Rattus norvegicus: one gene and its partner. The protein of the gene in region 1 purifies or fractionates together with the protein of each later gene. This does not show direct contact. Links are inferred from orthologs where the notes say so. Each region holds a gene or a part of one and is shown on either strand. Other genes may lie near its edges. The genes, in order: Ranbp6 and Armcx3.

Evidence for each region.
Region 2: the proteins of Ranbp6 (region 1) and Armcx3 purify together in Homo sapiens (co-immunoprecipitation; 3 studies listed by BioGRID and IntAct, counting the BioPlex papers as one, with this or other methods). This does not show direct contact. The link is inferred for Rattus norvegicus from reciprocal best matches to the Homo sapiens genes RANBP6 and ARMCX3.

What each region holds. Positions count from the first base shown.
Region 1 is NC_086019.1:236,987,476-236,991,779, forward strand, and holds the start of Ranbp6 (ran-binding protein 6), read right to left. Parts: upstream 2,977-4,304; coding exon 1-2,976. UniProt on the Homo sapiens protein: May function in nuclear protein import as nuclear transport receptor.
Region 2 is NC_086039.1:102,228,789-102,233,317, reverse strand, and holds the start of Armcx3 (armadillo repeat-containing X-linked protein 3), read right to left. Parts: upstream 2,855-4,529; 5' UTR 2,771-2,854; intron 2,236-2,770; 5' UTR 2,157-2,235; intron 1,706-2,156; 5' UTR 1,645-1,705; intron 1,332-1,644; 5' UTR 1,262-1,331; intron 971-1,261; 5' UTR 824-970; coding exon 1-823. UniProt on the Homo sapiens protein: Regulates mitochondrial aggregation and transport in axons in living neurons. May link mitochondria to the TRAK2-kinesin motor complex via its interaction with Miro and TRAK2.

The DNA of each region.
Region 1 (4,304 bases):
GGGCTTAAACTTCATAATCTTTCCGATTGCTGAGATGCAGTTCTCTGTAGCAATCACATTTTTTTTGGTTTTGGAATTTGCACACTTAATAACTTTTACCAAGAGTGGGACGGCTTCTGAACACAAAGAACGATAATCATCTCCACCAAACTGTGCCATAACTCCCAGTCCATAGGCAGCAGCTTGCCTGACTTCAGGGTTGTTGTCTCGCATATTGAGTAGCATTGGCCACCGAAAATACTCGACATATTTGAATGAGGTTGGACTGCAGTGCTCTATGATGTCATCAAATATGCATAGTCCCCACTGTCTGTCTGGCCATGGCCTACTTGAACAAATTAGATTTACAATTAATGGGAGTAGCTGTTCAAACCATGGCAAAATTTTTTCCTTGTAAGTACTAAATAATGAGTGCAAAATATCTGATACTTTGGTCAGAATGTAAACATCACATTCATCCTCATCTTGAAGAGACATTTCAACCTGCTGGTCATAATTTTCTTCTTGCCTTTTTACTTGCCGTAACTCTTGGTTTTTAAAGTGCCCTTCAAGTTTTGCCTTCAAAATTCCTCCCAGCTCTTCCAAGTGTTCATCGTTGAGACAACCATCTCCCATTACCTCAATGGACTTGGCAAAAGAATTCATTATTTCTGAGAGCACATCTGTGTCGGGTTCGGTTCCAATCGCCTTGATTAAGGGATCACATATAAACTGCCACATCTGTGAAAGATACTCTGAGCCACGAATTCTTGCACATTCTAAGAGAAAGGGCATGGCTTCTGCTGCTGCCATGCGAACATTGTCATGAAAATAAAACTTCAGCAGAGGAACCATCATCTTCACAACTTGCTCTGTGTATTCCACAAATCCTTCTCTTAACTCCTTAGCATAGTAAACCAACATCTGGCAAGCAGTTGCTTTTGCTTCAAGTCCTGAAGTTTTAATGCCAAAGCTTTGCTGGTCTCCGAGGTTTACAAACTGCCAGCCCTCGTCATCACTCATGTTCTCCACATCCTGTGTGTCTAAGAGTGCGACATCAGGCTTAGCTGAAGCAGTCTTGATAAGAGGCTCAATAACCAGCGGGAGATATTGTTCAAAGTCTTTTCCAAGGATCTTACACATTCTGGCCCACGCTGAAACCATGTAAGAAGTCTGAGGGTCGTCTTCTTCCATGTTATTTAAGTCTGATTGTGTCTTCAACAGTATCTGCATCACATTCGATGCATCTTGCATAAATTTTTCCTTCCCCACAGCCAGTCCAACATGGCTAATGCACTCAATAGTTTTTCCTCGAAGAAGCTTAAGTTCCTTTTGAACAGCGAGCTCAACAACGTGTTTGAGTGAGGGCATAAATATATCATAATATGGAATAAAGTTTTCTTCTATTACATCTGCCACCGAGGCAATGGTTGTCACGAGTTGTTCTAAGGCCAACTTGGTTCCATTCCGAATCAGCTCTTGAAGTTTAATTACCAAGATGGATTGGAGACTTTTTACCATATTTTCCAAATATAGGATTAGCAATGATTTGGGGCAGTCTTCAATAAAAATAACAAGAGCAGAAGCGGCCTGAGATTGCACACGCTGATTACCTTGGTTTTCCATGGTTCGCAACAAAGCTGTAATCACTATTTCATGGAATTTCTTTTGGAAACTAGGTGCAAAATCTGTAGCCATCTGTCCAAGTGTAGTACAGGCAGCAGCCCTTACCCTTGGATGAGGATCCTGAAGAAAAAGCAAAACCGAGTTAACCGTTTCATCTAGAATTGGTTCCATTTGCTGATGGCAACCTTCTCCGATGGCTGATAAGGCCATTAATCCGGCATGTCGACATTTCCAGTCATGGCTCTGAAGCATTTGCATGATATGCTCCTTGGTCATCGGCAAAACTACTTTTCCACCAAGTCCACAAGCCAGTCTGTCTAGGGCGCTCTCAGCAGCAACGGCGTTGCTGTCAAAATCATCTTCTTCCATTTCATCAGCATTTACCCAGTCATCGTCATCTTGAAGATCAACCATCATTGCTAATATATGAGGCACAGCCTGTGCGATAATATTCGTATGCTTTTTCAACATCGGAGTCGCAGTTTCCGATAAGGTCACTATTACTTCCAAAGCCAGCTGGCGTTGCAGATTGCTAAGCCTAGAGTCTCCACATAACTTCAGGCTCAACTGCAGAGTATCTTCTAAATAGGGACCCAAGTACTTAGGTACAGTATCTGCAATCTCAACAAGGGATTCTAGCACGGAATCATCATCCTGGTAGCAGGAATCATTCACAGCCTGTAAGATTCCAGGAAGCAAATCTGCAAAGTCTTTGAAAAGAGCAATATTGTTTTCATTAGCAAGGACAAACGCAGCCGCAGCTCTAGCAGATAATGTCCTGATGGCTGGATGCTCTTGATCTTGAATACACTGGTCCAACAACCTCTTGATGATATCCAAGTCGTGACGATCTTGGTTCCCAAAAATCCCAGGAAAGTGCCAGAAAACGTGAAGTGCAACTTCCCACAGAACCACATTTTTAGAGTGGATCGAATCAATGAGGAATTTCAGACCTTCTGGCCAATGGTTAGTGCCATTCTCATCTATCAAATTCCTGGCCAGCACCGCAAAAATATCACAAAGCTTTTTCCTCATGCTAGCATGTGTTTCTAACTTAACGGCCAATATCAGTTCAATCTTGACATCCCTCTGCACTTCAGAAGGTAGATTTGGATAGACCTCCTCAAACCCAGAGGACAAAAGCCGTCGTAGCAGTGCGGCAGCCATTTGTCTCACCTCATAACCTGCTCTTCTATTTCGGACGGCATCTAAGAGGAATGTAGTCTTACACAGACCTGGGATATTCTCATAGACCTCCTCGGCTTGCCTCCGCACCATACAGCTTGGATTGATCAGGTTCTTCAGAAGCTGGTAAAACTCCTGCTTATCCGATATGGTCGCCGGCAACCCTGCAGACCCGGCCGCCGCCATCGCGCCCTGTCAAAGCTACCGCGACCGGGAAGGAGGGAGGGAGTCTGCGTCTGGGAGCAATGACGTCAGTGAGGCGACGACGGGGATGGGTGGGGCGCTGCTCCCTCCGCTGCGGCGGGTTAAAGCTGGAAGGCTGGGGTCCGAGTTTTGCAGGGTAGAGGGAGCTGAGTGCCTATTAGGGGTATCGCCCTTCTGTTCTCCGATCCTGATGCTTGTGCGCCTGTAGAGGCAGGAAGGAGATGGAAAGAAATTCGCTCTGAAAGTCTACATACTGTATGATGCCATTTTTTTAAATAAAAGATCTCGAATAAGCACATCTATACAAACAGTAATTTGCACTTGCTATGGAATGGGGGAGGAGGAGGAATGAGTATAACTGCTGTCCGAGATTTCTTCTTGAGGGATGATAAAAATGTTCTGCAGTTGATAGTGATGATGGTTTCCCCAATGTCATGCCGTTATACTAAGAACTACTGAATTATACAATTTAAATTGTTAACTGGGTATAATGAGTCAAGCCATAATAAAGCTGTTTGCAAAATAAGCTCAATTAAAGGTTAGGGATTTCCTCCCCATTACCACACCCAGAGAAGTAGAACCCGTGATGTTCAAACTCAGGCATACACCAGAATCTCTTGCTCTGTGGGTTATAACAGAGAGTGGAAAGACAAGTAAGGTGAGAGATGATCTGAAGCAATAATGAAGCTTCTTGAATCCAGGTTTTCTGTATAAACTGTATTTCTGTTACGCAAGATTTTCCTTACATGTTTCTGACCTGGAATATGACAGTACTAGATTCCTAATTACCGGTTAATAGGAAGAAGCAAAGGTTATCCTAAGAACAAATTCCCTGAGGCTATGTATCTTTTATTTAGGCAGATGTGTTACTTGAAACCATAATTATAAGGTGTAACAGTCTGATCAGATCTTCCTTTCTGTCAGCCATTGTCACTCTCATTTCAGCCTTAGGTAATTCTGTAGGCTGACAGAGGCAGATAAAGTACTACTCTAAGGCAAGAAATGAACAGCCAGGGAGGTGGAGGCCTTGCCTAAGATAACAGATAAATTCTACCTAGTCTTAAGGTGGGGCCACCGTTTGTCACCAAGAACTTCCCACTGTAACTGCTCTAGATTTTGCTACATCATCAGAGACCTTTATTTATTGTGTTCTGTCTTAAACTTTGCCAAGAAATCTGAATTTCGGTTTTGTGAATTTCTGCTGCTTATACACACAAAATGGACAAAGGCTAATTTTCATGTTAACAAGTTGGCTGACCAGATAAGTGGTCTCATAAATTAATTTGTAATATGACGCTAGTCTCTGAACA
Region 2 (4,529 bases), on another chromosome or scaffold:
CTGGATTTTCAGCCAGATTCAAAAGGAGTTTCAGAACCTGAAGTTTGGTTTCTTCATTCCCTGCTGAAAATAAACGAAAAAAGTCTGAAATGGAATTAGCAAGGATGTGCTGATACTCGTTAGTAACAGTCATATTTGTAAGCAGTCTGAGTCCAGCCAGCTGCACAGACGAGTTCAATCGGGAGGTGACTGTGTCATCGCACACTTGATTCATGTATATCTTAAGCCTGCGCTGATTTTCAGCATTCACACTCAAGTTATTTAGGACAATTAAAGCCTTTTCCTTCACAATGGGATCTCGAGTATTGAGAATCTTTGCAACAATTGGGAGACCACCCAAATCGCGAATAATATCTCTATTAAATGCGTAAGCGGCATTATTACCCAGAGCAATTAAAGCTGCCTCAAGAATGTAAGGCTTTTCAGACATCTCAACCAAACAAAGTACTTTTTGTAACTCTTGAGGAGACAAAACAGTATCGTCTGAATTAGGAGAAGCCCTTTTCTGAACAGCTCTCCGAGCCCTGGTAGCCCTGGCTCTTGCCCTGGCTCTAGCTCTGGTCCCTGCTTCAGTGCCAATCCGGGCCCAAGGTGGGTACCAAACTATACTCTTGCTCTCATTACTGTCATCATCATCATCAGACCAGTCATTATACCTGGCCCCAGAACAGTCCCCAGCATCCTCCACATCACCGGGGCCACCCTCGGCCATTTTCTCCTTGTTCTGCTTTCTTCCTCGGGTCAATCTGTAAATGCAATAGCAGGCTCCAGCCCCAATCACCAGGCCTGCAGTCACCCAGCCTACTTTCCTGGCGTAGCCCATGCAATCGTCCCTGGCAACGGCAGGGACCAAGAAATAGAGTAGTCACTCAAGATAGGGGAAGAGGGCTTCGGGCCTGAGTGCAGGCCTGTGGAGAGTAATGTTCTTCAAGTCACTTCAAGGCCACAGTAATTGGTTTCAGAGGTAAACCTAGAAATGGAAGAGAAGAAGGTTTGGCTTTTTCTTTGTGCTGCTCCATGCAGACAATTGCTAAGTGGGGCAATAAAGTAGTAATCGAATGCTGGATAGGGAATATAGGTTGTTGACAAAAACCTCTAAGTCCCTCATTTTACTCTCCCCCCCTACATTCCTCTCCCCCCTCCCCACCCCCAGTTCACTCTTGCCCCTAAGCATAAAGGCAATGGCGTCCACAAGTATTTCTGGGCTCCCACTGTCACATGCTCCCGTGATACCCCATAGGATAAGCACTCTTGCACTGACCTCCTTAAAGCAGCGGCTTGCCCCTTCTTCCTTTCCTGTGACTTATGCCACACCCAGCAATCTTTCTGATCTGCAGAGATACCAGCAGCAGTGAAGAAAAACAAACAAACAAAAAAAAAACAAAAAACAAAAAAAAAAAAAACGAGGCTTTGACGCATCCAGTGTATATTTGATGCTTTCCTAATTTACCATCCAGGTTGTCAGATTTTGGTTAAACCTCACTGTGCCATCCAAAACACAAACATGCTATGCCCCCTCCCTAGTCTGAAATGGGTGGACGCAAGGACGCAAGGAAACAAAGTAGGATTGAGTGAGCCTGGCCAAACCCAAGCTGATTTCTAACCCCTCCCCCATTCCAGGCTGCCCCCCACGCCCACACCGACCTCCACTGCGCCGGGGAAAGTTCCTCCCTTGCTTCAAGCAGTGCCACCTGCTACAGCAGACCTGCAGGGTGACAGATGGAAAACAAGGGCACTAAGTGCTGTTGAGAGAGAAGGATTATGAAGAAACTATCTGATAGGTTTTCCTTCTGTCACCCTGCCCCCCGCCCCCACCCCCAGGAGCACACTCATACACCCAGAGACAGAGAGAGACAGGGAGCAGGGAGGGAGGCAGGCAGGGAGGGAGGGAGGGAGGGAGGGAGGGAGAGGGAGAGGGAGAGGGAGAGGGAGAGGGAGAGGGAGAGGGAGAGGGAGAGGGAGAGGGAGAGGGAGAGGGAGAGAGAGAGAGAGAGAGAGAGAGAGAGAGAGAGAGAGAGAGAGAGAGAACGCCATTTCTCCACAGTTCGGGGAGTGTGAGAAACACATTTAGACTCAAGTCTAAACCTAGATTACCTTTTCTGGTATTCCCCCCTTTTCTAGCCCCCGCTGCTCCTAGGGTCCCCAGATGGTCTTACCCTCAACTCGACCTTCACCGATCTGGTTAATTTCCTTCCTCTTCTCTTGCCTGGCGTTGTACCGCAACCTACGGAAAGACTGGCCACCCGGGAGAGGCTTGGACCCACTAGCCACAGAGCCATGGTAAGGAAGACACAGCCACAGGCAGAAAGACGGGAAACAGCCGCTACTGAGTGCTTAGTGGACGGACCAGTCCCCAGAGAACGAAACTCTTTCCTAATTCGGAGGCCTGGTTGTTAAAGCTTTCCCGCCCGAGAGCTAGGTCAGGGTTCGGCTGACACATCACATTGTACCCCACCATGCAGGACCCCATGTCCAGTTTTCCCCCTCTGGCACAGTCCTGACGGACCAGGGGCCAACACCCAGGCCACAGCTCCCTTTCCGGATTGCCGGCCTCAGCTCACAGCAGATTCCCATCTCTGGATTTCTGGATGCCTGCCCTAACACCCCTCTACTCACTGTTTTGCAGCATCGAAATGGGCTGCAGGCGGGACGTATATCTTGGAAAGAGGGCAGCAAGTGAGAGAGACGACGGCGGCGGCTCCGGACCTGCGACGGCCTCCGCCCTCTACCCTCCACCACCCCCACTTTATGGAATATCCCAGGCACTGACCTGCAGGGATCCGGGACAATTCCTTTTCCGCCTCCTTCTTTCCTCGGCCGCAGGCCCGCCCGCCCTCAGGGTAATAGGGAGCTGGTACTCAGACGGGAACAACGACCTGGACAAGAAGGACTTCTGCACACGTCAGCTCTTGGTCACGTGAGAGCGACGTAATCCACCAACTCGGATCCCCACTTTCCCCTCCCACCAGCAGTGCGGCAGAAGAGGACCCGCCCCCCTCTTTTCCCTCCCCCATACTAGGCCTTGTTACTCTTTCTTCTTTGCGGTTAATTCCATCTTCCTCTAGTCGTGCTTCCCTTCCTCCAATTACCAAAACAGGACAGCATCCTCCCCTGGGGCTATGGGTCACTTGTACTTTTTTTTAATTGACTCCTTCTTCCCTAGACTCTTGGGATAGCAGCTTCTCCCTCTACCTCCCCTCCTCCCAGCTATGAATTTCTACCATTCCCTCTGAAATATAGTCCTAAACCTGAAATGAGTAAGTCAGCACAAAAGTAAACCTGGAAGGAGAGTGTATCGTTTTTCTTTTGTAATACTTTTGTTGTCGTTGTTGTTATTTTTGCCTTGGCTTACCCTACTCACAGCTTGCATTTCTGAAGAAGACAATACAATAACGATATTTCCATCCGGGGAAATATCTCTAAAAAGTCCCACGTTTCTCACTTGTTGGAAAGTGTTATCCACTTTCCTTATAGGAATGTTAATGTCTTCTGGGGCCTATCCCATAACACCGCTGAATGAACATAGCACCTCCTGAATGAACTAATCAGCCAGCCAAGAGTATGTAACCCTTCTGACTAAGCCACAAGCACTGAAAGGCACAAGTTAACCAGGAGAAGACTTGGGCTTTCCAAAGCCAATAACAGAAAAGATTCAGGGGTACACATGCTGATACACGAGTGATATGCCAAGACCAGTATGAAAAATACTGGGGTACAGATAGAGACCAGCATCTGCAAGTGAAATAGTATTACAGGGGTGCAAAGACCAAGGCAAACCTGACTGAACTTGGCATCTAGCAATTAGTTGGAAACCATCTCACCCATTACCTTGATGAGCACAAGAATTCACTTGCAATTCTAACTTTCGAAAATAGAAAAAGGAATAAAGTAACTACATTCTCTCCGTGTTTAAGTTAGCCGCCTTTGCTTTCCGACACTGGCATAAGGTTAACTTAACACATAGTACAAGAACAAATAACGTAATACAAAGTGTAAAGCAGCTTTCCAAAACGTGAGCTCTTCGGTGAGAAATTTCCTCTCAGTTTCGATCAAGGTTGGTATCCGAGTGGAACTTTCAAAATCCCAGGAAAAACATGGGAGCACATCAATAGTTCCGAGAGTCGAGGAGTTAGCTAATCTCCAGGAAATTTTATGTCAGTATAGCTTCTAAAAAGCAGAATTGAAACATGATTTTGAACTTAGTAAAATAAATGGAACCGAATCGACTATCTGTCTCTGTATTTCCAGAACAGGTACAACAAATACTTATTCACAATCAACATAGGGCATGAGAGGAAAGAGGTGATAGTTCTGACCCAAGCACTGGCTAGAAGAGAGGAGATTCTGGCTAAGAACATTTCATCCTTAGCAAATTCATCCCTGTAATGTATGAGAACACTTCAGACTTCCTCAGCTAAAAGTCACTTCTTAAGATAAACTAATGTCTTTGTTCTGAGTCTAGGTTCATGAAGCAATCTTTGGAAGTTGTGACTTCCCAAGCAGTGGCTGGTCTGCAAGAAGAGAATGGA